Macaca mulatta: one gene and its partners. The protein of the gene in region 4 purifies or fractionates together with the protein of the main gene of each other region. This does not show direct contact. Links are inferred from orthologs where the notes say so. Each region holds a gene or a part of one and is shown on either strand. Other genes may lie near its edges.

Region 1 (8,347 bases), on a different chromosome or scaffold from region 4:
CAACCCTTCCCTCTGAAGCATCTCCCTCACATTGTTATATAAGACACATCTATTGTCTGAACCACTATGCTTCGAGTTTGTTAGAGCAGTTTAGCCTACCTGATTAATACAAAGTCCTTTTATATTATTTGAATTCTAAAATACTGATGTGATGCTTTTGACACTTAAAAAAGTATCTCAATAGATTTACCAAAATAAAGACATAAATGAAGAAAATGTGTTAATCCCACCCTACAATCTCTGTGCCTTCCACTCTCCAATTTATGTTGCACTAGTTGAGGGTTTATCCTCCTCAACACACCACCCTGTCCTCCTAATCTCGCCCTACAAACTTTTAATGGCTACCCATTCCCACAGATAAAACGACATATATATTTATAAGTATTCAGTCAGCCAATATGTAACAAACACCCAGTATGGGTTATATATCCTATTAGTAATAGGGACATTGTAGTGAACAAAACCAATGTGGCCCCTGCCCCCAGGGGAAACAATTGGAGTAGGGAACAGACAATTACATACAATGAAGTAAATATATGCTCTGATGACAGGGCACAGACTGCCTGGCAGCACCCAGAGCGCCAAGAAATCTACCCCTCCCAGTCCAGACTCCTCAGCACAGCACGCAAAACCTACAGGATCTATCTCAAACCCACCTTTCCTCCCCCATTATTTCCTCCTCCCCCAAATAATTGCACCCCCATTTCCTCCTCCTCCCAGTTACATAGAACTTACGTGCCATTTCTGAATGAGCCATGTACTTTCACTCATCCACACTTCAGGCTTTTCCCCAGAGCCTAGAATGCTCTTCTATCCTTTCTTTCAAAATTCTAATTATCCTCAAGGCTCAGCTCAAATGTCACCTCTTCAGCAAAACCAGCCCCAACCCCCAAGTCAAAATTAATCATCCCCTTCCTTGTTTCCCACACTTGGTTTCCACGTCAGGTATTTCATTCAGGCCTGTGGTTAGCTATTTTATTCTCTGTCCACTCACACCCACCAGCCGCTCAGGCAGATGCTGTGTCTTGGTCATTTGTCTGGGACTCCCAGTATTGAACACACGGTTGCACACAGAGTGGCACTCTCTCTGTGAATGTGGCACATTTCTTGAGTGGCCACTCAAGAAATGCCACACTGAGTGGACGGGCAAGACAGATCAGACACAGGCAATGGATGTGAAACCTGCCCTATGTGGCTGGGTGGGTTCTGGTGGGATCATGGTAGGTGGGTTTAGAAAGGCTTCATGGAGAAAGTGAGTTTTAGGGGAAAAAGGAAATACTAATACACAGGCAAGAGGTGAGAAGTAGAAGGGGCCGGAAAGTTTAATATAGTCTACATAAAGGAGAGCAAACAGGTTAGATAGAACAAAGTGTGTCAGCCAGAGAAGACTGGAGGGGAGGACACTAGGGGCAACATCTCCTTGGAGGAAAGTCATAAGGACCCAGTGAGAACAGGTGGGAGCCCCAAAAATGATCATTTAGGAAAAGGATGAGCTTAAAAGGGAGGCTGGAGGAAATAACCAACCACGAAGACACCAATTGTGTGGGAAACAATTGGGACCTGGGCTAAGACAGTAGCCGTAGAAACAGGAAGGAAAGGAAGAAGCTGGAGTCTGTGCTATGGGGAGACGCAAGAATTGAGAGACTATGTGAATGTGGAGGTCAAAAAGAGCAGTGATACCAAGATTATACTCAGGTTACTCCCTAGGAGAAAAGATGATCTTGCTTATCAATGTATTACATTTCAGGGATCAGTACAGTGCTAGAGTAGTGTAACACAGGGAGACCTTCCCAGAGGTCAGGCTGAAGTCACGCCAAGTGAGATTCTGTGGCAGCAGAGTTATCAGGAGGGTCATCAATGGTTCAGAGAACTGTCAGGTAAAAAGGCACCGGCTAGTGACACCACAGAAATTCCCAGTGTAATTCATAGGAGGCATCCAGCCAGGACAGGATATGCTGGAGTACAATCAAGATTTCCCCAAGCTGTGCTTTCCCCACTTCTATTTTGCTTTTGTCAGTCTCTCTTTGCCCCCTTCCCTCTTCCCCCCTCATTATGATTACTCAAGGGCATTGTTTTCAAAGTTTTCAAAGTTCTACCTCATCCCACCCTCATAACTGGTACCCAGGTTGTTCAAAGAACTGCACAACTCTAGGGGGAGTCATTCACACAGACTACAAAGTGAACAGCAGCTCCCGAAGTTGCACAGTGCACAATCTGTGCAAACCCAGGCCACGGCCCTGCTTGACCTAGACACACACAGTCAATAAAAATTGTGTGTGGACTATAACAGCAGTGCACCACTAACATACAACTTACAAGGGTCCCGCAGTGAAAAGTAAAGATTAAAAGCACTACCACCGGGTGTGGTGGAGCATGCCTGTAATCCCAGCACTTCAGGAGGCTCAGGTGGGAGAGTCAATTGAGCCCAGGAGTTTGAGGCTTCAGTGAGCTATGGTTGTGCTACTGAACTCCAGACTGGGTGACAGAGTGAGGCTTTGTTTCAAAAATAAAAACAAAGCACTAGGATCAGGGACTATAGAAAAGATGCCATAAAACTAAGTGGAAGATCTGGAAGCTTTCTGCACATGGGCTGAAGCTGAAGCAATGTGGCTGGACGAGCTCTCTGAGGGAGTCAGTTCAGAAAATCTCTTCAAGGTGAAGGAAGAAAACAGAAGCTAGCAAGGCTGGTTTACCAGCAGCAGGAGTCACGGGGCTTAGAGCAGTGTGGGCCCCCGGTGTCCCCAGTAGGGGAGTGGCTATAGAAGGCCTTCTCTGGGACCCTCCGACCATAAGTGCAGAGTAGTCATTTGCCCTGTGTGCAGCTGGGACCTGGATGGGACGGACACCGCACACCATGCGCTCTGTAAAAGACTCAGATCTGCCTTCTCTAGGGGCTTGGAAGAGAACCCCAGGCCGGGTCATAAGAATCATCTTGTCCTGGTTGACACTGACCACAAAGATCCAAGAATATCAAAGCATTTAAGAGTCGGCCCTGGGGTACCATGGTGGGCACTTAATAAACATATTTCCGTGGCTGGCTAGGATCACCATGTGGATCTACGTGAAGATGGTGTCTGTGTATGGAGTGAATGGAAAATGGAGAGGGAAAAAACCCACAAAAGATTCCTTGGGTGGGGGGAGGGCGCTGGGCCAAAACCTCACGGGGCACCGAGGGTTTCCGGAGGGTGGAAGATGAGGGGACAGTAAGGGAGGAAAAGTAACAGGTAGAAAAAGTTGGAGAAGCCAGGCTCTTAGGTCTTTGTGTATAAATACGCAGCTAGGCAGCTTCAAGAAAAGCTAAAAGAAAAGACTGAGACAGACAATCTAGCCACGACGAAAATGACGGCAGGACTCGCCCGCCGATTTCCATTGTAACGCTCCGGGCCACCCTGTGACCTTCGTGGAAGGAAGTTGGAGGATTCTCTCGCTTCCCTGGAAAGGCAACTCCGCGCGGGCTGGGCGAAGAGAGACCCGGCCGGCGGCGGCTATGGCGGGGCATATCAAAGGCTCACATTTCCGCTCTCGAGCGGGGGACCCGGGCCGGGACCGCAGCACCTTCCGGGCCGGGAGTTCAAGGTGAGCCGGGCTCCCGGCGGCCAACAGGTAGGGAGGGCTGGGGAAAGCCGGCCCGGGCCACTCCCCCCGGCACATGTTGGGGGCGAGGCTCGGCCTGGCGGAGCCGCCACTTGCACCCTGCGCGCGGGGCCCGGGCTGATTCGCGCCAGGCTCCGGGCGGCCCCGCGGCCGCTCCCCGCCGGGCCAAGCAGCCCGCGCACCCCGGCCGGGTTTCCCGGGAGCAGCCCGGGCACCCTCAGTGACCCAGGCCGCGCGCTGCAGCCGCGCCCCGCCGAGCCCTCCAGGGCCCTGCCAGACCCCCTGCGCCCAGCTGAGCCCCGCGCACACTCACCCAGCGACAGGAGCGCCAGCAGCAGCGGCCTCGGCGCCAGGCGCCCCATGCTCGCCCGGCGGGAGCGACTCTCCCCCTCCTCCTCCTTCCCCGCCGCCTCTCCTCCTCCTCCTCCTCCAGCTCCGGCTGCTCCAGAGTCGGCGCTCCTCCGCCTGGGCCGCGCGCCTGCTCCGCTCTCCTCGCGAGCCGATAAATCCCAGCGCTGGGGCGTACGTGCGCCCCTGGCTCCGCTCGCTCCCTCCCGCCTCCTTCCCTCCCTCCTCCAGCCGGCCGGGCCCGGGAGCCGGCCCCGCCGATCCGAGTGTGCAGCCCCGACCGCTTCCCGAAAGCAGAAGGGAAGAACCGCAGCGCCCGCCCGCCCGCGCCTCCCATCCGGCGCTTTGCCAGCAACAAACACAAACTTTCCCAAGCCCCTCCCCGCTCCAGGTAACGGAGGAAGCGCAGGGGCCACCCGCTTAAAGGCGAGGAGGCGTCGGAGCCCACCCTGCCTTCCCCTCTAGGCCCCCACCCCACGAGAAACTTTCCTCCGACCTTTAAAAGTTGGCCTGGGAAAGACTCGTCTGGAAATCCCTTCGCTTTAGCCCTATCCCGGGACACCCCGCGTTCCATCACGCTGGAGTCACCCACGCGTGTCTAGTCTATCCTCAATCAACTGCCCGCTCGTTCGGCCTCGCGTCCTGAGCTAAACACCCCAGCAACCAGCCGCTTGGCCTATGCCAAAAATTACGCAGATGGGAGCGAAGGAGCTGAAAGGACTTTTGAAGGCCACGGATTCCAACGTCTACCATACAGAGGCCTTAAGTGTTTCGGTGAGGTGCCCAAGGATTCACAGGGAAGGGGCAAAATCAGAACCCCGCTGTCCTGACTGCCCACTCCCCGGTGATTTGGGTGGGCCTGCCTCCTCCTTACCCAGCACCCTCCCTCTCCTCAGCGCCTGTGGCACTGATTAGAACAGCTCCACACAAAGACACCCATTTAAAAAACAAACGAAACCCAAGTGTATTAATAGCTATAGTACTTCATATAGAATGTACTGTTAAGACTTCATATTTCTTGCTCTAAGTGGACACCACTGGTTGCCAATAAAGACTCATACTTCCCCCCACAATAGAGTTTTGTGCTTTTGATTTGAATACAAAAGGCCCCACGGGTATTGGGAGAAACGGAGCATTCCTTGCTTGAAACTTAGCAAGCATGATTCAGACACGCAAGGAGCAGGACTGGTGCCCACTGCCCCTCACTGGGCTTTCATTCACATGTGGAAAACGGATCACAGATGCTTATGCGGAAACTGCCCACACTCACACAGGGGAAGAACATTACTTTTACTCTCATGCATCCGTGTTTCAACCAACAAATGTTTCTTATTTCCACTATCAAATGTGTGATTAGCCAGGTATGAACCCTTTGGAAAGAGTCTTAAAAATTCATTCCTGGTGGTGCAACGTTATTGTACTTAATGGCACTGAATGGTACACTTAGAAATGTTTAAAATTGCTAGGCATGGTAACTGGTGCCTGTAATGCTAGCTACTCAGAAGACTGAAGTTGGGGGCGGGGGCGGGGGTAGAGGGAGGCCGGGAGCGGGGGCAAGGATGGTGTTGCTTGAAACCAGGAGTTTTTATTTGTTTTGTCTTTTTTCTTTATTTCATTTTTGAGACAGGATCTCGATCTGTCACCCAGGCTGAAGTGCAGTGCTGCGATCAGGAATCACTGCCGCCTTGACATCCCAGGCTCAAGCAATCCTCCCACCTCCACCTCTCAATAGCTGGGACCACATATGTGTGCCACCACACTCTAGCTAATTGTTTCTATTTTTTTGTAGACACTGGAGTCTCCCTATGTTGGCCAGGCGGGTCTTGAACTCCTGGGCTCAAGCGATTTTCCTGCCTCAGCCTCCCAAAGGACTAGGATTACAGGTCTGAGCCACTGGGCCAAAACTTTTTCTTGTTTTTCTTTTTTCTTTGTTTTTGAGGCTAGAAGTTTGAGACCACTTGGGCAACATTGTGAGACACTGTCTCTAAAAAAAAAGTTGTAATTTTAAAATGGTAAATTTTGTGTTATGTACATTTTATACAATAATTTTTTTTTAAATTTTTTTCTGCCACCAAGCCTTTCCTGGTTCTGTTCATACACACTGTAATTCCTTTATCTTCCCCATCCCAATTCTTCCCTAGAATTTTTCAGGGAAGTTTTCCAATTTCATTCAATCAACCTTGAATGCAAGCCTAATGTTAGGCCTTGGAAGATAGTGGAGCTTCAGAGAAATGTGAGGCCTGGCACCTTCAGCAGCTCAGATTTCAGCTCATCCTTCATCTTTCCTTTTCTTAACCACCTAGAAAACTTAATGTCTGAACCATACATTGTGGCACTTGGTCACATTCATTTTAGCGAAACATATACACTGCCCCCATCTCTGTCTAATAATGCATGGGCCTAAGAAGCTGTCACATTTTCACCTTGTATCCCACCTTATGGCAGAGTAGATGTTTTAAAAACTCTTTTGTTTAATAAACAATGCGTGACAGGGACTGTGCCTAGCACATGGTAGGTCCTAATGTATATTTATAGAGTGAATTAATGGCACACACTGGGCTAAATCCTGGGGGTACAGGGATGAAGCAGACAGTTCCTGCCCTTGAGGAGCCTACAGTTTGTGCATTGTGATAGCATGTGCAAGGTAGAGTCGTGACACCACAAGGGAGCGGCCAGTCCAGGAGGAGGCTGTCATGACTCTGCATTGAGTCTTGAAAAATTGGTAGGTCTTTAGCTGTGGAGTGTAGGGATAAGCTTACAATACATGTTGTGTATTTAGTGTGATAGAGATTCTTCTTGCCTCACCCACGCCCGGGTGTTATTAAATTAATGGTGCACCTTACAATCATGGGAATAACAGTGGTTAACCGTTGAAATGATGAGAATAAATAAAATTGTCTAGGTAAGGCAGGTAGAATGAGAACTGAAGTGGGTAGCCTGCTGGTGGCTGGCAGTTAACTGTCATGGGAGTTAACCAAAGAGCCATTTTTTTAAGCAAAAAATAAGCATAAATTGATAACTCTAGACTGTTGGTTATAACCACCACACCCTTTGCACATTCCTGACTACCAATGGATAAAGGAAGAAGCACTCACAGCAGACTGGCACAATTTGTTAATTCATGACTCTGGAATCTGATGATGCTTTTACTATGAAAGATATTTATTTACCAGAGTGAGTAACCTTCTATACAGCTAAGGCTTTTGCCCCAACCGGTTGTTCTCCTGTCTTAGTCTATAGGCTTGCCTGGGGCAGGAAGACTCACTCTCCAGCAATTCTAATTGATTCACGCCCACCCCCAAGGAGAGTGCTGACGTAGGTTTCTTTTCTCCAACCATAGTGCCCCCAAGGGGCACTGGTCATAGCAGTCAGACCTTATGGTCTTCTGGTTACACATGTCTTTCTGCAGGTGATACCCCTAAAACCTTACAAGAGTCCTCATACTATTACGCCAAACAAGTTTCCCTGCTGAGATCAGGCAAAAACATCATCATATTATTTAACTTTGTGAATGAAAATGTTAAAAAGTTCCCAGTGAATGAAACTGCTGATCTGAGATTCACCTAGACTTGGGGTTTTTGGCCCTGCCACACGCACACAGTCTCCAAAGGACCCTGACCCCTACCTACTTCAGCAGGGGCTCAGGGACAGGAGTATGTTCCATGGCAACGTTTCATTCCAGTAATCATTTTCACTCTCAGTCTTCCTTGTTCCATGTCCAGATGTATATTTTCCTGGTTAAAGTTAAACAGGGATGACTAAGCAAAAAGAAATTTAGGATTAAATTACAGAATTAGAAAATGAAATTAAAAGTTAAAAAGGGAGGGGTGGTGAGAGGAGGCCTTTATTTCCCCATGAGTGAGAGTCCTGCAATACTGGTGAGATTAGTGGGAAGCTGTAGAATGCTCATCTGACAAGTTTGAAAACAGCAAGGGACCTCATCTGTTTGGTGTGGGCTAAGCAGGGTCCTGCCTGAGGGCTGGTCCTGCTCCATAACCACCCAACTATCAATCCTCCCCATCTTTTCTTCAGCCCTAAAAGACTGAAGTGGAACATGGTGGAGAAAGTGTTCTTAAATGACTTAGAACTGTTCCAGATTCCACCTCCGCCAGGCCAAAAGTGTCTCCCTGGGAACCTACCCCACATAGCATCACGCCTGCAGGAACACTGCGGTGGAGAAGTGTGAGGAGAAAATAAGGAATTGGATGGAGGTGAGGCTTTGGCAATAAAAGCTCTCCCCAAGACTGAGGCTATTTCCTGGGTTAGGAGCCAACAGAGCCCTTGCCCTGGAGGGGCTTATCATCTAATTTAATGCATGAAAAACCTGGCATGAAAAACCTGGAATACAGTGAAGGGTGGGGAGGAGATGGAAACCACAAGAGCAAAGGAATTGAAAGAAAGGTAA
Region 2 (6,500 bases), on a different chromosome or scaffold from region 4:
GTCCAGGGCTGGGGGAGAGAGTATGACTGTTCAGAGAGGATGCCATCATCCTCCACCCATCACACTTGCCTCTACACGTTCCCCATCAAGTTCTCTGAACCCACCTTCTCCATTCACAGGCACCCCATCCCTGCCCACAGCCTGCCCTCTCAGCATGCAAGTCAGCATCAACCACAGAGGACCCCATGCAGGTGGGCACTGCAGGGCTGGAAGTTGGATTTTTTGAGACTTCATGTGACAGGATGTGGAGGAGAGAGATAGTAGCAGGAGGGTGAGAAGATGGGAAGGGAAGGCCAGCAGCAGGGGCCGGCAGGAAGGCAGAGCGAAGAGGGTGGAGGGGTGTCACTTACCATGCATGTAGGGGTAGACTGTAACAGGCCCTGAGCGGGCACTGCCCGCCTGGTACCAGCTGTAGTCAGCATGCTGCACCCAGGCGCTGGGGGCACAGTGGTACACGCCTTCATCCTCGGGCCCCAAGCTGTGCAGTCTCAGCCGATGGCTTCGGGGCCCCACCAGCTCTACGCTGACAGGGCCTCCTCCAGGCCGGACTCCCAGCTCTGCCACACCATCCTGGCCCACGCCACCCACCAGCTGGGCAGGGACAGAGCTGAGCTCTCCGTCCTCTGGTCGCTCCACCCACCAGCTGGCGGCCAGCCGCAGTCCTGGGGGGCCACCCCGCACAGAGATGTTGCACAGCAGGGAGGCAGTCTCCCCCCGGTACACTGTGCCTCCTGCTAGCCACGCCACAGCCTCCAGCACCACGCCTGCAGAACAAAGGACATGGGGTCAGAGGGTGCAGGGCCAGGGAGCATGGGGTCAGAGCTGCTGCCAAGCACCGCCGCAGGAAACTCAGGGTATTCCCACAATATTGGGAGAAGAGGAGCGTGAGGCTGTGGCATGCAAGCAGCCGATGGAGAGGGAGGGGGGCATGGAAACAGAAGGAAAAGGGGTTGACAATCCTCAAACCCTGTCCAGGGCCCAGCCCCCTCTCACCTTCCTCCCGCACGTGTACAGGGAGAGGCCGGGAACGGGCACTGGCTGCTTCACGAAGCCGGGTCCCAGACCCCCGAACATAGGCTTTGGCGAGGCAGCGGTAGGTGCCCGCATCACCAGGCCTGGCAGCCTCTAGCCGCAGCCGGTATGTTCTGGATGCCACCTTCTCCATGGCAATGTGTCGGCCCTCATAGCCAGGGCCCAGGCTGCCCACACCCTCTGTGTCCAGCTGGGCTACCAGGCGGCCAGGCCCAGGTGCCCCCGCAGGTGCCATCTCCCAACCTACAGAGTATGCAGCATGACGGCCTGCTGGGGGAAGTGCCCCTGACACATTGCACAGCAGTTCCAAGGGCTCCCCTGGGCCGATCCGACGTTCACCAGGCCCCACTGTTACTGCCAGCTGGCTGGCTGAAACACAGGAAGGGGAAGAGGTGTCATGGAGGCAGGAGGGGACACAGAGGCACCTGATTCCCAATTTTCTGTTTCCTCCTTGACAGCAGCAACTTCAAAACCTCCTGTCTGCCCCTCACTGGGTATGATCATCTTTCTACTTGGGGGCTTGAATCTCACCCCTCAGCCATGGGCCTCCTAGCTCTATACCCAATTTCTGAGCAGAGAAAACCCATCAAGGGCAGAGGGGGAAGAAATGCTAACAAGGCTGCTCACTCTGTGGAAGATGAGTTCCTTGGAGTCAGATGATAGCTCTCTGGTACCCCCTGCGGCCACAGCACCCACCAGGATACTGTCCCTCCCAGCTCCCACAGTGGGATGTATAAGTGGTACTTACACAGTGTCTGCACGTCCACGTGGGCCAGGACAGCCCTTTTCTCTGCGATCTGGGCCCAGCTGCCATCAGGATCCTGAATCCACTCAGCGGCAGTGCAGTGGTAGGTGCCTGCGTCCCCTGCCTGGGCACCCCCTACTACCATGCGGTACCGATCGGTCCCTTCCTTGCCCAGACGAAGCTCCCCTGCAGCCAGTCGCTCAGCATAGGGAGCTCCGGCCTCCACGGCCAAGTCTGACCGGATTCCCACCACTTCCTGCAGAGTTGCTCGCCCAACTGGTGCCTCAGGCACAGATCGCCCAAAGGACACAGCCAGGTGTGTGTGCTGCTGTGTGCTTGTCCTCGCCAGGCAGCCCAGTGCCAGCTCCTGCCCCTCATGCACCATCAGGCGTGGGGGTGAGGTTGGGGCCTGGCGGCCTCGGGGCCCTGGGGGGGCAGCAGACACCTGGAGGGCATCTGGAAGAACTGGAGAGAACAGCTGGAGTGAGGGAGGGCTGGGAGCTGGCAGCCCTTGTTACTGTTTCCTGTGTACAGCCTATCTCCCTAAATAGACTGTGAGCTCTCAGAGGGCAAAGATTGCATGTTGTATTATTTCCTCTGTAACTCAGTGGTGCCAAGTGCAGTACTGGGCACAGCACAGGCACTCAATAAATACTTGTTGAATTTCATAGAACCAGCCCATGTTGGTTCTATGTTCGAGACTGACCCCTGTTTGAAATACTGAGAAAAGTGGTTCTGTCTTCCTTCTCAGAACACAAAGAAACTTAGTGAGAATGTCACACGGTCTCACTCCTTCCCTAACTCTACTCTCTTTGCCAGATCTGGGTCCTGTACTGTCCAGTAGTAGAGTCTATTCAACCCAATAGTCTTCCTCGTTCTTGGGAATGGAAAGGGGAATGGACAACTTAAGGACCCTTCATCTCCCAGGAGGGGTCTTGATATGATAAGACAAGCACTGGCCTGGGTGAGGCAATCTGGGTTTGAGTCCCATATCAGTCACTGAGTTATTGGGCGACTTTGTGCAAGTCACTTAACCTCTTTGGGCCTCAAGTTCCTTGGCTACAAAACCTAAGGGGCAGTTAGATAGGTCACTTGTGGCTTTGACTTTCTGCCTTGAGAGGGTGTGTGGCCCCACCCCGTCCCAGGGCCCAGTACCTCTCAGCTCCACCTTGCCGCTGTAGCTGCCCAGGTAGCGGGTATCAGTGGAGGGGGTGTGGCACTCATAAATGCCAGCATCCTGGGCCTGCAGGCGGGCAATCTTGAGCACCACAGCATCACCTTGTAGGCGCTGCACCTGCACCTCACCCGCCACCACTCGGGACTTGAAGATAGCATAGGAGAACTGGGTATCCTTGGTACTGACAATGCCCAGTGCAGTATCTGGGGCCTCAGGCCTATACAGGAACCACTCGAAGTTCTGCTGGGCAGGTCCCTCGTAGCCGGTCACGTTGCAGGAGATGGAGACAGCTGTTCCAGTCACGCGGTACAAGGGCCCCTCGGGGACCAGCACCTCCCGGGCCCAGCATCCCATTCCTGTAGGGAAAGGCAGAAGAAGTTGGAGATGCCTGATTCCCCATTCCATGCCCTCTGCCACCACAAGCACCATTCTTGATCTCTGCCTACAAAAGGAAAGGACACCTGGGGAAGATGGTCCACAGCTTGGACCCTGTTCTGAGAATAGGAAAGGGATGCTGTGATATAAGACACCTGGATCTCAAGAAGGTGGCACGGGCCCAGGATTGCCTTGGCACCTAGATGCATCCCATTTCTGGTGGACTAGAAGCAGAGCGCCTGAAGGCAGAAAGGAGTACATCTGATTCCTGACCTAACCAGGCTTTGGTTCCAGCTAAACCTTGATCTGTCCCTGCCACTCACCCACCTCCATGTCTGCCATTCCTTCCTCAGTGCCTGGCCAGGGGAGCCTTCTGGCTGGGGGATGCTGAGACTACATGTCCCTCCCCTTTGCTTGAGGGGAGCTGGCAGTCTTGCTCAGAAGTGCTAGTTGGCTCAGCTGTGTCACCTGGACCAGACAATGGAGCCAGTGACCCTAGCTGGAAAGGGCACAGGCCCAGTCAGTTCTCACCACACAATGCCCTCCCCCCTCCAGCTGCGCAATGAGCTCACTGCTTCTCTCACCCCACAGGGCTGCCCAGGCAGCTGGGGCTTCTGGGGCAAGGTCCAGGCTCTGCTCTCGCCATTGGGGCAGAAGATCCCCTCCTCCAGTGCCTGCCAACCTTCCTGGCTAGCCCAGCAGACACACAAGGCGCCTGCCCCAGTTCCTTAACAAAGCCTTCATTTGCATATGGTATGCATTCATTTACATATATGGCTTTCTTTCTGTAGGGAGGCATTAAATCCCAAGCTGCCCCTTCTCATCTCTCTCCCTTCAGAAAGGTCAAACCTCTCTTCTTCACCCTACTCCACCCCTATGCCCAACTCTACCCCAGCAGATACTCCTGGCAGACTTAGAGGGCTTAGCTCCTCCCTTCTCTCCTTCCATAGCTCCCACTAGATAAAATCGCAGAACCTCAGAATGTAAAGAGGGCTAGGCTACCCCTCCCCCCCTCCCCATTTTACAGATGAGAAAGGTAAGGCAGGAAAAGTATAATATCTTAGCCAAGATCATGCTGTCCCTAGATGGCTTCCACACCCTCCTCCAGAGGGGCAAAACCAGGGAGGAAAATGGGGAAACTCCAAGGCCAGGCCTGAAGGGACTGACCTCACCAACCAGAGTGTCACTTTTAGGCCTCCCAGGGGGATACCATGGACTTTCTGCAGAAGCTAGAGGAAAATGCCCAGGAGTCTGTGGTCAAACTCTACCCTCCAGCTTCTCTAGAATGGCTCCTCTGAACTTCCCCACCCCTGCTGCTGGGCTCCTAGCCCCTTCCTTTATCCTCTGGCTGAGTCACAGGGAGAACTCATGGTCTGTTGTTAAGGGCACAGGCTGTCAATCAGGAAGTGAGATTCCAGCACCATCCCCATGCCCAGCTGTGTGGCATGGGATCCAGTCTCTTTCTGTCCTAGGCCTCGGTTTCCACACTGGAGGAGAACTAAGAGCTCCAGCTCTGACCATGCATGAGTGCGTATGTGACTCAGGAGAGCCCTGCCCCAGGCCAGGCAAGTTTCATAATCAGGGTGATGGTGGAGACGGCCAAGCTGACACCTTCCCTGACTGCCTCGGGGCAGACTGCTCAGAAGGCCCCCTCCCATCTTCCTGGCTCCACAACTGCTGATGCTTGGAGATCCCCATGGGAAAGTTACCTCCACAGCCTTAGGAAATCAGTTGCCACACAGCTCTCTCTCACCTCCTCTGTATTAGTTGCAGCGAGGAAAGGGAGAGCAAAGAGGCCTGCTTTGGAATCAGATCTGTGTTCAAATCCTAGCCCTAATACTCACTAAATGTGCTCTCTGGGGCAAGTTACTTCAATTTCCTCACTTGTGAAATGAATGTAAGTGCCCACAGGCAGTGGGTGCTCAGACGTCTGCGTGCTCCTTTTTCAACCACAGGCCAGCACTTCCCCACCTCCCTGGGCTCCTCCCTGCTCCATGCTGCCCGCTGGGGAAAACACAGCAAGTGCTAGGCAACCCAGGTCCCACAGAGCCTTCCTCTCTGTACATCCTCCTGCCACCTGCCCAGGGACCAAGGAGAGGACTCATCCTAGCCCTGCAGGGCCCAGGGACCTGCAGCAGGGGAAGGCTTTGCTTGGTGCCACTGTGGAGCCCTGGTCTAGAAACAGGCAGCTGGGGCTACCTTCAGCCTCTGCCTTGACAACAGCAGCTCTGAAGTCACCATCCCCACCTCCACGCTTCACTCTCATTTCAAGGGCTTCAGCCTCATCAACATCTGTACTGGCAGTTTCACTTCTCCACGCCATACTCTTCCCCAGACCACCTCCTACAGGCAGCCTTCCAGTTCAGGCCAAAAACAATTCCACTGTCATTACCCCCAGGCATCCATGCAAGATTAGCCCAGAACAACCCACCATGAACACCCACCACAGCAGGCACAAGGTGCTTTGAGATCCCAGGATCAGTCTCCATGGAACCTGGTTTCTCCTGAGGCAAGGAAGCTGGAACTAAGCGGGTGTGAAAACTGATGGGTGGCTGCAGAGCCAAGTGCCATTTGGGAGAGAGGAAGAAGGGCAAAGAGGGACCCAACCTGGGATGGAGATGGGGGTGAGAGAGAGAACTGCCCCCAGTTGATGAAGTGTGTGGAGCGCAATTGGGAGAGACTTACTTCAAAGATCGTGGGCAGAACTGGCCTCTGGGCCTCCAGCCAACTCTAGGGCAATTATGAAGCTGGGCAGGCACTGCCCACGCAGGGCGGGCACCCAAGGCCAGGCCTGGAGCTGAGTGTGGGGCAGAAAGGAGTCGCAGCATTTGGTGCAGCGACCCCAGGACGTGGGTATGCTAGCTGAGAAGTGGGGCCTGCCCCAGGAGGCCAAGCAGTGCCTGGGGCAGCACTTTAGTGGGTCCTCCCTGTGCCCCACTCCCTGACTTAGAGCTGGGGAGCCTGCACTCTTCCCAAGACTGGCTCGGCGGGCAGCCACAAAGCGCAGCTGGCCGCCGACCCCGGGGAGGCTGGAGGTACCCCTGACGGAGGAGGATGTGAGGAGCCCCGAAATGCTCGGGAGGTGCTGGGTGGCAGGCACCTGCCCGGCGGGGCCGGGAACCGGAACGGGGGCCTGACTTACCTAGTATTAGCAGCAGCAGCAGCAGCGGC
Region 3 (7,614 bases), on a different chromosome or scaffold from region 4:
CCCAGCCATCCCATTACTGGGTATATACCCAAAGGATTATAAATTATGCTGCTATAAAGACACATGCACACGTATGTTTATTGCGGCAATATTCACAATAGCAAAGACTTGGAATCAACCCAAATGTCCATCAGTGACAGATTGGATTAAGAAAATGTGGCACATATACACCATGGAATACTATGCAGCCATCAAAAAGGATGAGTTTGTGTCCTTTGTAGGGACATGGATGCAGCTGGAAACCATCATTCTTAGCAAACTATCACAAGAACAGAAAAGCAAACACCACATGTTCTCACTCATAGGTGGGAACTGAACAATGAGATCACTTGGACTCAGGAAGGGGAACATCACACACCGGGGCCTATCATGGGGAGGGGTGAGGGGGGAGGGATTGCATTGGGAGTTATACCTGATGTAAATAACGAGTTGATGGGTGCAGCACAGCAACATGGCACAAGTATACATATGTAACAAACCTGCACGTTATGCACATGTACCCTACAACTTAAAGTATAATAATAATAAATAAATTAAAAATAATAATAATAAAAAAAAAAAAAAAAGAAAAAGAAAACGCCACTGTCTCAGCCCAAAATCTCCTTAGGCTGATAAGCAACTTCAGCAAAGTCTCAGGATACAAAATCAGTGTGCAAAAATCACAAACATTCTTATACACAAATAACATACAAACAGAGAGCCAAATCATGAATGAACTACCATTCACAATTGCTTCAAAGATAATAAAATACCTAGGAATCCAACTTACAAGGGATAAGGACTTCTTCAAGGAGAACTACAAACTGCTCAATGAAATAAAAGAGGACATAAACAAATGGAAGAACATTCCATGCTCATGGGTAGGATCAATATCGTGAAAATGGCCATACTGCCCAAGGTAATTTACAGATTCATTGCCATCTCCATTTAGCTACCAATGACTTTCTTCACAGAATTGGAAAAAACTACTTTAAAGTTCATATGGAACCAAAAAAGAGCCCACATTGCCAAAATAACAAAGCTGGAGGCATCACGCTACCTGACTTCAAACTATACTACAAGGCTACAGTAACCAAAACAGCATGGTACTGGTACCAGAACAGAGATATAGACCAATGGAACAGAACAGAGCCCTCAGAAATAATTCCACACATCTACAACCATCTGATCTTTAACAAACCTGACAAAAACAAGAAGTGGGGAAAGGATTCCCTATTTAATAAATGGTGCTGGGAAAACTGGCTAGACATATATAGAAAGCTGAAACTGGATCCATTCTTTACACCTTATACAAAATTAATTCAAGATGGATTAGAGACTTAAATGTTAGACCTAAAACCATAAAAACCCTAGAAGAAAACCTAGGTAATACCATTCAGGACACATGCATGGGCAAGGACTTCATGACTAAAACACCAAAAGCAATGGCAACAAAACCCAAAATTGACAAACGGGATCTAATTAAACTAAAGAGCTTCTGCACAGCAAAAGAAACTGCCATCAGAGTGAACAGGCAACCTACAGAATGGGAGAAAATTATTGCAATATACTCATCTGACAAAGGGCTAATATCCAGAACCTACAAAGAACTCAAACAAATTTATAAGAAAAAAAACCCCATCAAAAAGTGGGCAAAGGATATGAACAGACACTTCTCAAAAGAAGACATTCATGCAGTCAACACACATGAAAAAATGCTCATCGTCACTAACCATCAGAGAAACGCAAATCAAAATCACAATGAGATACCATCTCACACCAGTTAGAATGGCGATCATTAAAAAGTCAGGAAACAACAGGTGCTAGAAAGGATGTGGAGAAATAGGAACACTTTTACACTGTTGGTGGGACTGTAAACTAGTTCAACCATTGTGGAAGACAGTGTGGTGATTCCTCAAGGATCTACAACTAGAAATACCATTTGACTCAGCCATCCCATTACTGGGTATATACCCAAAGGATTATAAATCATGCTGCTATAAAGACACATGCACATGTATGTTTATTGCGGCACTATTCACAATAGCAAAGACTTGGAACCAACCCAAATGTCCATCAATGACAGACTGCATTAAGAAAATGTGGCACATATACACCATAGAATACTATGCAGCCATAAAAAAGGAGGAGTTCATGTCCTCTGTAGGGACATGGATGCAGCTGGAAACCATCATTCTCAGCAAACTATTGTCGCAAGAACAGAAAACCAAACACTGCATGTTCTCACTCATAGGTGGGAATTGAACAGTGAGAACACTTGGACACGGGCTGGGGAACATCACACACCGGGGTCTGCCAGGGCGTGGGGAGAGGGGGGAGAGATAGCATTAGGAGATATACCTAATGTAAATGACAAGTTAACGGGTACAGCACACCAACATGGCATATGTATACACATGTAACAAACCTGCAAGTTGTGCACAGGTACCCTAGAACTTAAAGTATAATAAAAAAAAAAAAAAAAAGAAGAAGAAGAATCTTGGAGGGGAAAATAATTTAAAAGAGAAAAACTGGGAAAGGAAATAAAACTATAAAAAATCTCTTCAAGCTACCAATCTATTAGGTGGGAGTGTCCATGCCACATGTCACAGACATGTGGTAAAGTGTACACACATGTGCCAGCATGGACAAATATACACAGGCACACATGTACATTTCAGTTCCGTATGAACTTGAGTTCATACGGAATATGTGCAAGAGTCTAGGAAAAAAATTTATTCAGGAAAGTAACCATTTTGGTCAAGATGAAAATGTAATCTAGCAATAAATAGTGAATGACACATGTGGAAAGGCAGAATAAACTTAAAGAGTACATTAGTTACATTTTCAAATAGTATATGCTATTACATTTACTATTCCAGATGAACTGTCTAAATTTAAAGCAATGGTCTGTTAGCCTAAAAAAATACAATTACACATGCAAAAAAGTGTATGGAAGTTGAAGAAAAACATACCGTGCATACCACTTAAAAATATAACTAGTATACTATTTAAAAACAAATTTATCCTACAGGTGCAGACTTTTCAGGTTCCCTGTGTATTTTTAGAACACATAATGCTCACGGACACTGACTGCACTGATTCTGTATCTGGTAAAAATATAAAGGAAAGAAAGGCAAAGTATTTTCAAGATAATCTTTTTGGTTAAATGACATTTACTAAAAATGGGCCTGCATGATTAAAACAGGATATGTACAACATGGAAGATAAAAAAATTCTAACATTTAAATTATTACTTAGCACAGACAATTAAAAACTGATAGTGAGCTACAGCCATGTATTTCTTTCATGGTCAACAGCCTTCTAAGCCTAGTCATTTGGGGCTAACACTGGATTCAACACTCTCCCCTCTTCCTATTCTTTTACGGAGAAAGCTGTATTCAAAGTATACTCAGTTTTTAATTTTCAATTACAAAAAATAACCACAGTGTGAAAATAAAATCTGAAGTAATTTTGTTAGTTTTCTTAGTATTAGACACTACATGCTGAAAATACCATTTTCTCTTTTTTATTTTACAACACATATTTATTTTTTTTTAAATTCCAACAATGCAGAAGTACATGTAGTACAAGACAAACATCTTCTATTGCTTCATAATTCCATTTCCCCAACAAAATCACCATCACCGGTTTGATGTTTTTATTTTTCTATAAACATATTTTACATAAGCTTATTTTGTTCTAATAAATTCAGATTGCTCTCACATGAGAGAAACACTACCTTGACAACTTGTTGAATATACTTCTTCCATGGCTATAAAATCTTTTATTTTAAAGAGTAATCACTTTAAGAAAAAAAGGCAGGAAGGAACTTTATATAAATATCACACACAAGATCATCAAACTGATCTTGTGGTGAGCAACCGTGGTTGGAAAAAATATTTGCTCCAAATAGAGAGATATTCTCTGGATGTCCCAAAATATGACCTGCCTGTACTCTCTAAACCAATGTAGCTATGTCACTGTCTGACAATGCCCAGCTTACCTGCACGCGCCACACTCAAACGTCCCATTTCCTTCATGACACTTGGGACTTTCAGGGATGCCTTCGCTTTGGCATTCACATTCACAGATGTACTGAAGAATAACCTCTACTTCCTCCGTGAAGCCCAGAGGCCTAATTTTAAAGCTGTCAGAATCCTTTTTTGGACACTTATTTGAAGTTATGCTAATTTCAAATTGAACCTTGAAGGGAAAAAAAAGATTAACAACTAAGCAATTTAAATCTACTAAAAAATATTTCAAAAAGTTGCTCACTTATTTTAATGTTTCTCAAAGTACAAACTAACTTTGCTTATAAATAACCAATGTTTTCTACAGAAAATATATACCTCATACATTATATTATACAACATACCTCATCTCCAATGGAAATACAACATACCTCATCTCCAATGGAAATATTGGAACATTTTCTTCCATTTTCCCCTGTTCCATTCACCCCGTTCTTGCAGTAAGATTTGTAACTTATTGTTACTCCTTCTGACAATTTGCCGTTTTCCAAAATGACTTCTGAGGAAAGGGACTAAAAGAATGCCTAATTATACACAGGAAAAGTCAAACAAAATCTACTTGAATGCATAAAACCAATGGATAAATAAACTATTCAGAAAAAAATATATTTCAATAAAATATTTACAAGCCAAATCCAATTGAGCAACTAGAAAACACAGAGGCCAGAGAAATAGGTTTTAATTAATAAGGATCCAATCTGTAAAATAAAATACACAACTGAAAAGAGTATTCGTGTTTTAACCGCTGAGTTAAAATACTCAGGATCACACAGTGTGGAGGGCCACTGCTGATCAGGAGAAGTCTTAGGAATGTGCAACAGGCTGGGCGTGGTAACTCACGCCTATAATCCCAGCACTTTGGGAGGCAGAGGTAGGTGGACTGCCTGGGCTCAGGAGTTGGAGACCAGCCTGGCCAACACAGTGAAACCCCATCTCTGCCAAAATACAAAAATAAAAAAAATTAAAAAAAAAATAAGCGGGCGTGGCAGCATGCACCTGTAATCCCAACTACTCGGGAGGGTGAGACAGGAGCGAGACTCCATCTTAAAAAAAAAAAAAAAAAAAAAAAAAAAGTGAAATAAATGCTGTCTTCCCCATTGGCAAAATGGCATTTCTGCAGTTCTACCTCTCCAGCTAACTACAGACTAGGGTAAACAATCAACTATGCAGTCTAGGAACAAATTTGCTTAAGGAACCATTGTAGCCCAGCCAAAACAAACAAACAAACAAAAAAACCCAAAATCCCCCAAGGATTCAAACCAGTGCTTGTTTAACGTATGAGACTATTCAGGACAAATGGAGAAGGGTAAAATGGCAAGCTATCTCTTGTTCACACCCCTGAAAAACAGGGGTTACGAAAATTATCTAACAGGGGAGAATGGAAAAGCTGTGGAACCAGTAAAACCTTAAAAACCTTTGTAAAAACCCCTCCGAGTCAGGCCTTTCCAAAGTATTATGGTACCCCCATGACATGAGGTAAAAATGTCTAAAATTCAAGCTGCCAAAGGGTTAGGGGGATGGGGGCTGAAAGCGGTGCACGAGGCACACAAGGGTTACCATAATATTACAATTGCCTTCAGATTATTTAAATGATCACTAATTAAGGCTAACTCAGTGTGACTGAAGTACACTGAATTATGCTCAAAAAGGAGAAGCCAATTCCTCTTTAATTTCAATTCAACTTCCTCCCATCTGTGAGGAGAAAACAACACTATAAATCTTTTTGAAATAGGCAAATCACACATATATTTACATTTTTATGTATTTTATGGTATATGTATATATGAGTGTATGTGTACCTCCTGAATAGAAACCTATATCCTCTGAATATATGGGAAAAGAATTGGCCAAAAAAAAAAAAAACACAACTTTTCTATCAGAAAAGTCATCTATTCTATCAGAATATGCCTTTAAGATTTAAGATTTCTGTAGTACTTTGGGCTCGCTAAGGTGTGTATGAAGGAAGTTTCACTTTCTTTGAAGAAAGTATTCTCAACAGGGTATTGTCCAAAACTGATCTTATTTAAGATGTACTCACATTGTATGCATCAATGATCAACTGAATTACATTACTAGAATTTGCAGATAATGTTCCTACTGCTGACTTAGGGATCAAGTTTTTCAGTTCCTGCAATTAAAAGATAAAACACGTAAAATACATCTACTATTCATTCAACCAATTAGCATCTACTGAGCAACTTTTATCTTTAAATGCCAGTTCCCATATGTCTCATCCTAACTAACTTTAGGAGTCAAACCTAGAAACCAGTTTTATAATATGTAATTAAAAGTTAATATAAACCACTTTTGTAAAATTCGGTTTGCCTATCTGGTGGCATTTTCCCACATTTCAATTCAGACATGATTTGCCTCTAACAACTCAACCAAAAATATTTAGAATTTTGTTCTTTTTATCTCACACATTTACCTTGTAAACGGGCTGAAATTCTTCAGTAACTGCAAAAATTGTCTGAATATTATTTTCACTCAGTTTCTGGACAAGGTGAGCAATAGAAGGATAATCCTAAGAAATCAAGTAATATATTTTAGTATGTAAATACACCCTTATAATCTAATTTTTCAATCTAGTCATACATGCAAGATTATACATAACTCGATTACAAGACTGCTTTAGATAACTAGATTACATATGTAATTTATATATAGTTAGAGTACATCTCTTGCATACATATAACTAGATTACAAGACTGCTTTCAAATAATATCAAATATAAACTGCTGAAGTGAGTAGTGTGTATACATGAATTGCTAATCCTCTTCTCTTTCATGTTTGAACAAAAAATTCCATATTCAAAAGGTTTTAAATAGTAAGATTATCTATGTATATTAAATATAGGGACAATGAAATTAAAGAATAGTCAGTAATCAAATATTCTACTATCTACAACTTAAGAAAAAGACCAAGATTTCCCATTTGGATTTCTTCTAGAACCTGAATGCTTTTGCCAATATTTCTTTTCAATAAAGGCAGAGTGACTGCTTTTAAAAATCATATAAGACAAAGAGTATGAGACTAGATAAATTATTTATTTAGAAATAGTACTGACTGTGCTACCAAATGCTGTGGGCAGGGAGTTGAGGCAAAGAGTGAAAGTGGCATCTGGGCATCCCTTTCTCACCCCAGTGAGGCCCTTGTCTGAGCAGAAGGAAGCAAATACAAAGCCACATCTTCACAAACAGCAACACTAGCTTTCCTGCACTTTCAATCAGGATCCCTACTTACCAAAATAGCAAAACCTCAAACCCTGAGAAACCCCAAGCCAGTCACCCACAAACTCTTAGTATTAAACATTAAAATCCAACATAAACACATTTGCTATGTAAGGAACTAAGCACTTACATAATAATGACTCATTGTGTACATATTATTTTCCAGGTGACACTGTCCATCATTTGGTAAAACAATGCCACCAAGTTTCCCATCTCCAGCAAAGTGAAACCCGGCATCTGTGGAAAACACCAGCAGCCGTGTAACATTCCTCCAGCCAATCAGTGACTTGAAAAGAAAAGGATTTCAATTTTAAAACACTATTCACGGTAATTCAACAAAAATCCTTTAATTTTCATACAGGCCACCATTG
Region 4 (7,614 bases):
TGCTTTTTTTCCCTGAATCCACAGGTACCTTTGCCTTCTTCTTCTTCTTCTTCTTCTTGTTTCAAATCTGTTTTGATCTTTTCCAAACTCCATGGAGTGGATTCACTCCCTTTACTTCCCCAAATCTCTGCGTCTTTTGTGAGCAATGGTAGTTTCCTGCTCACTGACTCTTAACTAACGCCTTGTAAATGCTAGTTCTGGGGGGGCTCGGCTGTGCTCAGCTCTTTCCTCATGTCCGGGCACCTTGCCTCACTGTGGCCTCTGTCCTGGGCTTGGTTAACTGCCTGTTCTGTGAACTTCTTCCCTGCCCCTTCTAGGCTATTCATTTGTGCCACCAGATGCCTGTTCCCCAGGGAGTTGTCCTTCCTTGTCCCAAAATACCCTTTGATTTTCCTGGCTGGTTGGCTGGGACTGTTCTCACCCCGTCCCCTCGCTGCCTTCCAGTTCTTTGGCTTCCTCCTGGTGATATTCGCCATTGAAATAGCTGCGGCCATCTGGGGATATTCCCACAAGGATGAGGTAGGTTTTTCCCATGAGATCTCTTGGGTTTGGGAGTTGGGGGATGGGGGACAGTGAAGCAGGGGGCAAGTCCTGGCTGGGCACTTTGTTCCGCTTTCAGCTGTTGACCAGGCCCCTTATCTCATCGCGTGCCTGTGTGCCAGCGAACATGCCCTCCTCAGGGCAGGGAATGTCAGCACGCTTACTGTCCTGTGCGAGATTGTGTCAGTCATGGTGTTGGCTTATAGTAGATGTTCAGGAACTACCCGTTGGGCCTGTGCGTGTGTGTGTGTCTGTCCGTCTCACACCTCAGCAGCCCTCTCCCCCAACTTTTAGAAAGATTACTCAGAAAATACAGGCTTTCTGTGGGCTGGACACCCTTGCCTCCTCCTCTGATCTATAAATAACACGTTCAAGTGCTGCCCCCATGAGCCAAGTGCTGCCCCCAAGCCTGTGCAAGGTCCACAGATGTTTGAACTATGGGCCCCACTTCCGGACACTTGGCCATCTAGTATGGGAAAAAGACATGAAATCGACAAGGGTCATAGAGGTGATTTATATCCAAAGTACTATGGGATTTGAAAAGGTGGGGTGGGGAAGGGAATCTCTTTTGACTTCATAGACAAGGGAGCCGTGAAACCTTGAATGAGAGATGTGTTCAGGAGGAAAGTTAGTGGAGGCAGGGGACTTCCAGTCAAAGAGGTTGAGCATGGCTGGGCTTGGGCTTACGTGGGGAGCCCTGCAGACTTTTGGACCAGGATGGGCCATATCAGAGTAGTGTTTTTGGAAGGGCTACCTTGTCATGTTCAGCAGGAAGGGGGAAGGAAGAGAGATGCAGGAGGCAGGAACCCTATTGTTTTGTTTTGTTCTTGAGACTAGTCAAGTACGGTAGTGGGAAGCAGGGAAAAATAGAACAAGGACTTCCATCTGTAACTGACGTGAGCAATCCATTGAGATAACTCACTACTTTTAGACCAGCCAAGGGTCTAATATTTTTATTAATATTTTTAAATATTTTTTAATATTTTTATTAAAAAATATTTTTATTAAAAAAGTATTTAATACTTTTTAATATTTTTATTAAAAAATAAAAGTAGGCCAGGCGCGGTGGCTCAAGCCTGTAATCCCAGCACTTTGGGAGGCCGAGACGGGCGGATCACGAAGTCAGGAGATCGAGACCATCCTGGCGAACACGGTGAAACCCCGTCTCTACTAAAAAAATACAAAAAACTAGCCGGGTGAGGTGGCGGGCACCTGTAGTCCCAGCTACTCAGGAGGCTGAGGCAGGAGAATGGCGTAGACCCAGGAGGTGGAGCTTGCAGTGAGCTGAGATCCGGCTACTGCACTCCAGCCTGGGCAACAGAGCGAGACTCCGTCTCAAAAAAAAAAAAAGTATCCAAGCAATAACAGCTACAGCCATAGAAATAGGAATGGATCATTGTGAAAAATGTCAGAAAGATGCTGAAGGAAAAATGCTGGCTGTTGGTCTGTTAACTGGATGTGGGTGAGCATCAAAGGGACAGATACGCATCAAATTGGGATGTACCAGATGCAGGCACATAATAATATATCCCCTATATTATAATACAATAGCTGACACGTCCTCCAGATTTACTCTGTACTGGACATAGTGGCAAAGGGCTTAACGTGCAATATCTCATTTAAATTCTCACAATAACTTATGAGCTATAGAGACAAATGTGGAAACTCCGTACAGAGAGGTTTAGTAATTTGCCAAAACTCATACCTAAGTGAAGAGAAAAAGAAGATGGAAGCCTGAGGAAATAGTCAAGTCAGGAGTAGTAGTTTTTAAAATATTATTATCCTTTAGAGCATAGAGATTCAATTGAGGAGCAAAGCAGAGCTGAAGAACTGACCAAAGTATAAGACACAGGGAGAAACAGCCAGAGCGGGTTTCTGGAGGACGTGGGAGGAGATGGGAAGTGCCCAAAGGCCCCGAGAGAAGGCAGTGCTAGCAGCTGCCATCTGCCCAGTGATGTCCAAGCACGTGGCTGAGAGCTTAAAGAGAGAGAACAAGATGGAACACGTAACATTTGTTCGTGGAGAAAGGTGTGAAAATGCCGCCTCTGCCCCTCTCTTGTCTGCCCATCGTAGGTGATTAAGGAAGTTCAGGAGTTTTACAAGGACACCTACAACAAGCTGAAAACCAAGGATGAGCCCCAGCGGGAAACGCTGAAAGCCATCCACTATGCGGTATGTGGCCTTGGCAGAGACACCCTCCTGCGCTCACTCCGGACCGTGTCTGCACACAGCGGTGCTGACTGTACCAGACCAGTGCAAACATTCTAATCATCTTTTTTAAAATGTGTTTCTCTCATCCCCATCCCTGCCTTCTCGCTGTAGTTGGACTGCTGTGGTTTGGCTGGGGGCGTGGAACAGTTTATCTCAGACATCTGCCCCAAGAAGGATGTCCTCGAAACCTTGACCATAAAGGTAAACTCAGAGCAAGATCCTGGTGCCCCTGCACCATTACTGTGGGCAAACCCTGCGAGCATAAAAGTGACAGCAGCCAAGTGCTGCCTCAGAAAGACCCGGTCTGCCTGTGAAAGGGTCCCAGGGCACCCATCTCTTTCTCCCCTACTTTGGGCCCTCTGTTTACTGAAGGGCAATAAAACAAAAGGCCGGGCGCGGTGGCTCAAGCCTGTAATCCCAGCACTTTGGGAGGCCGAGACGGGTGGATCACGAGGTCAGGAGATCGAGACCATCCTGGCTAACATGGTGAAACCCCGTCTCTACTAAGAAATACAAAAACTAGCCGGGCGAGGTGGCGGGCGCCTGTAGTCCCAGCTACTCGGGAGGCTGAGGCCGGAGAATGGCGTGAACCCGGGAGGCGGAGCTTGCAGTGAGCTGAGATCCGGCCACTGCACTCCAGCCTGGGCTACAGAGCGAGACTCCGTCTCAAAAAAAAAAAATAAAAAATAAAAAATAAAATAAAACAAAGGCCAGACCAGGGGAACGACAAGTGCTCTGGCACCGCCCACTGCTGCCAGCCTGGAAGCTGTCGAGGGCAGGCGTGCTTCTGAGTCTTGGACTCCCGCTCTGACTTTGTCAGTGCCTCCTGTCTGTAAGCTGGAGTTAATGTCCAGCTCCAGAGTAGTAAAAAGTGACCTTACAACCGTATCAGAAATAGGCCCCCAAGCAGGGCCTGTCCCTCCTCCTTCCCTGATGTCCTGCCCAAATGTTTAGCATCCATTAGCATAGCCATCCCTTTGCTCCCCTTTCCATCCACCAGCCAGAACTTCTCTTATCCCTGAACACCCCTGTCCCCAGCCCACCCTCTGCCCACCAGTTCTCCCGGGTGAGACGGGTGCCATGGGAGGAAGGAGGTGCCCCGGGAGCAAGGATTGTGTGTCACCCAGGTCTTGGTTTGTCTCCCCAAGTCCTGTCCTGATGCCATCAAAGAGGTCTTCGACAATAAATTCCACATCATCGGCGCAGTGGGCATCGGCATTGCCGTGGTCATGGTGAGTGGCGGGATGTCGTCCCAGGAGGGGGACTGAGGAATTCACACTGATTCAGCCCATGCTCTGCCCAGATACTGCCGCAGTCTGTGCATTTGTCAGCTCACTTTGTCCTCGTGCCCTTAGTATTTCCATTTTACCACTAGGGAATGGAGAGACAGAGAGGCCGCCGTTCTGATCAAAGCCTCTCACCTCCTGAGTGGAGTATCTGAGGTTTCCCCTGGGTTTCTTCAGAGTCGACTCTCTTAGCCATTAAGGTTCAGGGCACATGGGCAGCAGTGCTGGCGCTGCTAGTCCTCAGAGCATGTCTCCTCACACACCTGCTGTTCTTCTCCCTAAGAAAGGAGTTCACTAGAGGCTACCGGCATGGGAATTATTTCCTGAAGAGCCTCTGAAAATGGGCAGCCAGAAGGAGGTCTCCTGCTAATCAGCCCCTAGAAACCAACAACGGCCAACCAGGTTCCTTGGGGTCATGTCCTCTCTCCCCGTGAGGGAAAGCCCCAGACGGAACATGGTCCTCGCTGGGATGGCCTTGGCTCCCTGAGTCTTCCCCCACCCCCGCCCGCTTCTGCCCCCTTGCCAGACTGCCCCCAAAGAGAGAATCGCCTCCTTTCTCCGGCATCTAAGAAAGGCATGAAGTACCTTTCAGCAAAAGATACAATAATACTTTCTTTCTTTTCTTTCTTTTCTTTTTTTCTTTTTTTGAGACGAAGTTTCACTCTTGTCACCCCGGCTGGAATGCAATGGTGCGATCTCGACTCACTGCAACCTCCACCTCCCAGGTTCAAGCAATTCTCCAGCCCCAGCCTCAGCCTCCTGAGTACCTGGGACTACAGACCTGTGCGACCACACCCAGCTAATTATTTTTAGTAAAGATGGGGTTTCACCATGTTGGTCAGGCTGGTCTTGACCTCCTGATTTCAGGTAATCTGCCCACCTTGGCCTCCCAAAGTGCTGGGATTACAGGCGTGAGCCACTGTACCCAGCCAAGATATCACAATACCTTTTAAAATAGAATATTAGGCCGGACGCGGTGGCTCATGCCTGTAATCCCAGCACTTTGGGAGGCCCAGGCGGGCAGATCACAAGGTCAGGAGATTGAGACCATCCTGGCTAACATGGTGAAACCCTGTCTCTACTAAAAATACAAAAAATTAGCTGGGCGTGATGGCAGGCGCCTGTAGTCCCAGCTACTCGGTAGGCTGAGGCAGGAGAATGGCGTAAACCCGGGAGGGCGAGCTTGCAGTGAGCCGAGATCGCGCCACTGCACTCCAGCCTGGGGGACAAAGCGAGACTCCGTCTCAAAAATAAAAAATAAAAATAAGGCCGGGCGCAGTGGCTCACGCCTGTAATCCCAGCACTTTGGGAGGCCGAGACGGGCGGATCACGAGGTCAGGAGATCGAGACCATCCTGGATAACACGGTGAAACCCCGTCTCTACTAAAAATACAAAAATTAGCCGGGCGCGGTGGTGGGCGCCTGTAGTCCCAGCTACTCGGGAGGCTGAGGCAGGAGAATGGCGTGAACCCGGGAGGCGGAGCTTGCAGTGAGTGGAGATTGCACCACTGCACTCCAGCCTGGGTGACAGAGCGAGACTCCATCTCAAAAAAATAAACAAATAAAATAATAATAATAATAATAATAATAATAAAATATTAACACTTTGGGAGGCCGAGGCAGGCAGATCGCATCACTGCATTCTAGCCTAAGCAACAGAACAAGACTCCGTCTCAAAAAAAAAAAAAGGAATATTAAATACACACAAAGACAAGCGCAAAAGTACTAACCTGTATGAACTGTAGGAAAACCTGGAATTTGAGCATTTAATTTGGCTCTGAGCTTCCTTGTCCCACCCTGAAAGTTCCCAAGGAAGCTGCTTGTGCACCTGACTGCCAACCCCCCAGATTCCTCACGTCCCGCGTCCTTCTCGTTATCTGGCCTGCATCTCTCCTGCTTCGGTACCTTCTGACTCGTTTGGCCTCCTGGATGCCATTCTCCTTGTCATTTGTCTTGGACTGGGTGACCCGTGTCTCTACCTTTCCCTCAGCCTGCCTTCACATCAAACCACCCTGATCCTCATGTTTCTTCCTATCTCCCAGATATTTGGCATGATCTTCAGTATGATCCTGTGCTGTGCTATCCGCAGGAACCGCGAGATGGTCTAGAGTCAGCTTACATCCCTGAGCAGGAAAGTTTACCCATGAAGATTGTTGGGATTTGTTTGTTGGTTGTTTGGTTTTTGTTTTTGATTTTGTTTTTTTTTTGCCACTAATTTTAGTATTCATTCTGCACTTCTAGATAAAAGCTAAAGTTATTTTATGTTTGTCTTTTAATGCTTCATTCAATATTGACATTTGTAGTTGAGCGGGGGGTTTGGTTTGCTTTGGTTTATATTTTTTCAGTTGTTTGTTTTTGCTTGTTATATTAAGCAGAAATCCTGCAATGAAAGGTACTATATTTGCTAGACTCTAGACAAGATATTGTACATAAAGAATTTTTTTGTCTTTAAATAGATACAAATGTCTATCGACTTTAATCAAGTTGTAACTTATATTGAAGACAATTTGATACATAATAAAAAATTATGACAATGTCCTGGACTGGTTTTGGTTTCCTTTAATTATTTTGAGAGCTATTTGGTTTGCAAATGTCTTTCAACTGCTATTAACTCTACCTGCATTTATATGAGAAGTAGTTTGGGCAGTTGCTCACCCCAGTTTGTTTACTAATGAAGACATCTAGATGTGGAAAGATTAAGGGATTCTGATCCAGAGTCACACAGGTGTTAACAGAGGAGTCAGCACCAGCAGCTGGTGCCCAGACGCTCATTCAGCAGTGTGACACGTATATCTTGGGGACATGACAGTACACGTCACACCATGGTGGCAGAACTTTGTTTTATTCACTGCCTAGCCCCCAGTTTCTGGTGCATAGTAGTGCTCAGTATTTTTTTATCAGTGAATATTTGTTGGTTGAATGAATAAATGAGTGTGTACCCATCAGGGTTTCATCAGAGAAGCAGAACCACTAAGAGGTACTTGTTTGAAGAGATTTGTTGTGGGAATTTGACCTTAACACAGTCACTGGCACTGGGGCTGCTTAAGCAGGCTCTGCAGACAACTGGGAAGGACAGACGGACGTAACGTAAGGGAGGACAGGCCCGAGCGGGAGCCCTTGAAGGCAGACACATCCGTCTGTGTCAGTTCTTTTTTTTTTTTGAGACAGGGTCTCGCTCTGTTGCCCAGGCTGGAATGTCATGGCCCAATCTCAGCTCCCTGTAGCCTCCCAAGTAGCTGGGACTACAGGCATGAGCCATCACACCCGGTTAATGTTTGTATTTTTTGTAGAGAAGGGTTTTGCCATGTTGCCCAGCCTGGTCTTGAACTGCTGGTCTCAAGCTATCCACCCGCCTTGGCCTCTCAAAGTGCTGGGATTACAGGTGTGAGCCACCGCACCCGGCCCTGTGTTAGTACCTGCCTCTGCTGAGGTGAGCCAGCAGAGAAGTCACAATTCGTATGAGCTGTGAAATGACCGCTGCTTCACTTCCCACCTCCAAACCTTCCACAAGTTTCTCCTCTGTGCTCTACTCTTAACCGGAAACACACAGGAAGAGAATTCTGGGAAGTGTGGTTCA

The links.
Region 1: the proteins of CD9 (region 4) and PTGFRN purify together in Homo sapiens (co-immunoprecipitation; 8 studies listed by BioGRID and IntAct, with this or other methods). This does not show direct contact. The link is inferred for Macaca mulatta from reciprocal best matches to the Homo sapiens genes CD9 and PTGFRN.
Region 2: the proteins of CD9 (region 4) and IGSF8 purify together in Homo sapiens (affinity purification with mass spectrometry; 5 studies listed by BioGRID and IntAct, counting the BioPlex papers as one, with this or other methods). This does not show direct contact. The link is inferred for Macaca mulatta from reciprocal best matches to the Homo sapiens genes CD9 and IGSF8.
Region 3: the proteins of CD9 (region 4) and ITGB1 purify together in Homo sapiens (co-immunoprecipitation; 5 studies listed by BioGRID and IntAct, with this or other methods). This does not show direct contact. The link is inferred for Macaca mulatta from reciprocal best matches to the Homo sapiens genes CD9 and ITGB1.

What each region holds. Positions count from the first base shown.
Region 1 is NC_133406.1:123,368,051-123,376,397, forward strand, and holds the start of PTGFRN (prostaglandin F2 receptor negative regulator), read right to left. Parts: upstream 4,248-8,347; 5' UTR 3,957-4,247; coding exon 3,908-3,956; intron 3,577-3,907; exon of another isoform or gene 1-3,576. UniProt on the Homo sapiens protein: Inhibits the binding of prostaglandin F2-alpha (PGF2-alpha) to its specific FP receptor, by decreasing the receptor number rather than the affinity constant. Functional coupling with the prostaglandin F2-alpha receptor seems to occur.
Region 2 is NC_133406.1:106,787,856-106,794,355, reverse strand, and holds part of IGSF8 (immunoglobulin superfamily member 8), read right to left. Parts: coding exon 6,405-6,500; exon of another isoform or gene 6,376-6,404; intron 6,127-6,375; exon of another isoform or gene 6,015-6,126; intron 5,957-6,014; exon of another isoform or gene 5,774-5,956; intron 3,343-5,773; coding exon 2,933-3,342; intron 2,243-2,932; coding exon 1,781-2,242; intron 1,635-1,780; exon of another isoform or gene 1,533-1,634; coding exon of another isoform or gene 1,491-1,532; intron 1,402-1,490; coding exon 994-1,401; intron 765-993; coding exon 351-764; intron 345-350; exon of another isoform or gene 276-344; coding exon of another isoform or gene 120-275; intron 9-119; coding exon 1-8. Other genes in the region: KCNJ9 (G protein-activated inward rectifier potassium channel 3), read left to right, coding at 120-275. UniProt on the Homo sapiens protein: Member of the immunoglobulin superfamily (IgSF) that links tetraspanin-enriched microdomains to the actin cytoskeleton and plays several important roles in innate and adaptive immunity.
Region 3 is NC_133414.1:34,304,867-34,312,480, forward strand, and holds part of ITGB1 (integrin beta-1), read right to left. Parts: intron 7,530-7,614; coding exon 7,374-7,529; intron 6,538-7,373; coding exon 6,442-6,537; intron 6,142-6,441; coding exon 6,052-6,141; intron 4,526-6,051; coding exon 4,358-4,525; intron 4,186-4,357; coding exon 3,986-4,185; intron 1-3,985.
Region 4 is NC_133416.1:7,161,847-7,169,460, forward strand, and holds the end of CD9 (CD9 antigen), read left to right. Parts: coding exon of another isoform or gene 1-24; intron 25-444; coding exon 445-519; intron 520-2,613; coding exon 2,614-2,712; intron 2,713-2,862; coding exon 2,863-2,952; intron 2,953-3,899; coding exon 3,900-3,983; intron 3,984-6,079; coding exon 6,080-6,145; 3' UTR 6,146-6,471; downstream 6,472-7,614. UniProt on the Homo sapiens protein: Integral membrane protein associated with integrins, which regulates different processes, such as sperm-egg fusion, platelet activation and aggregation, and cell adhesion.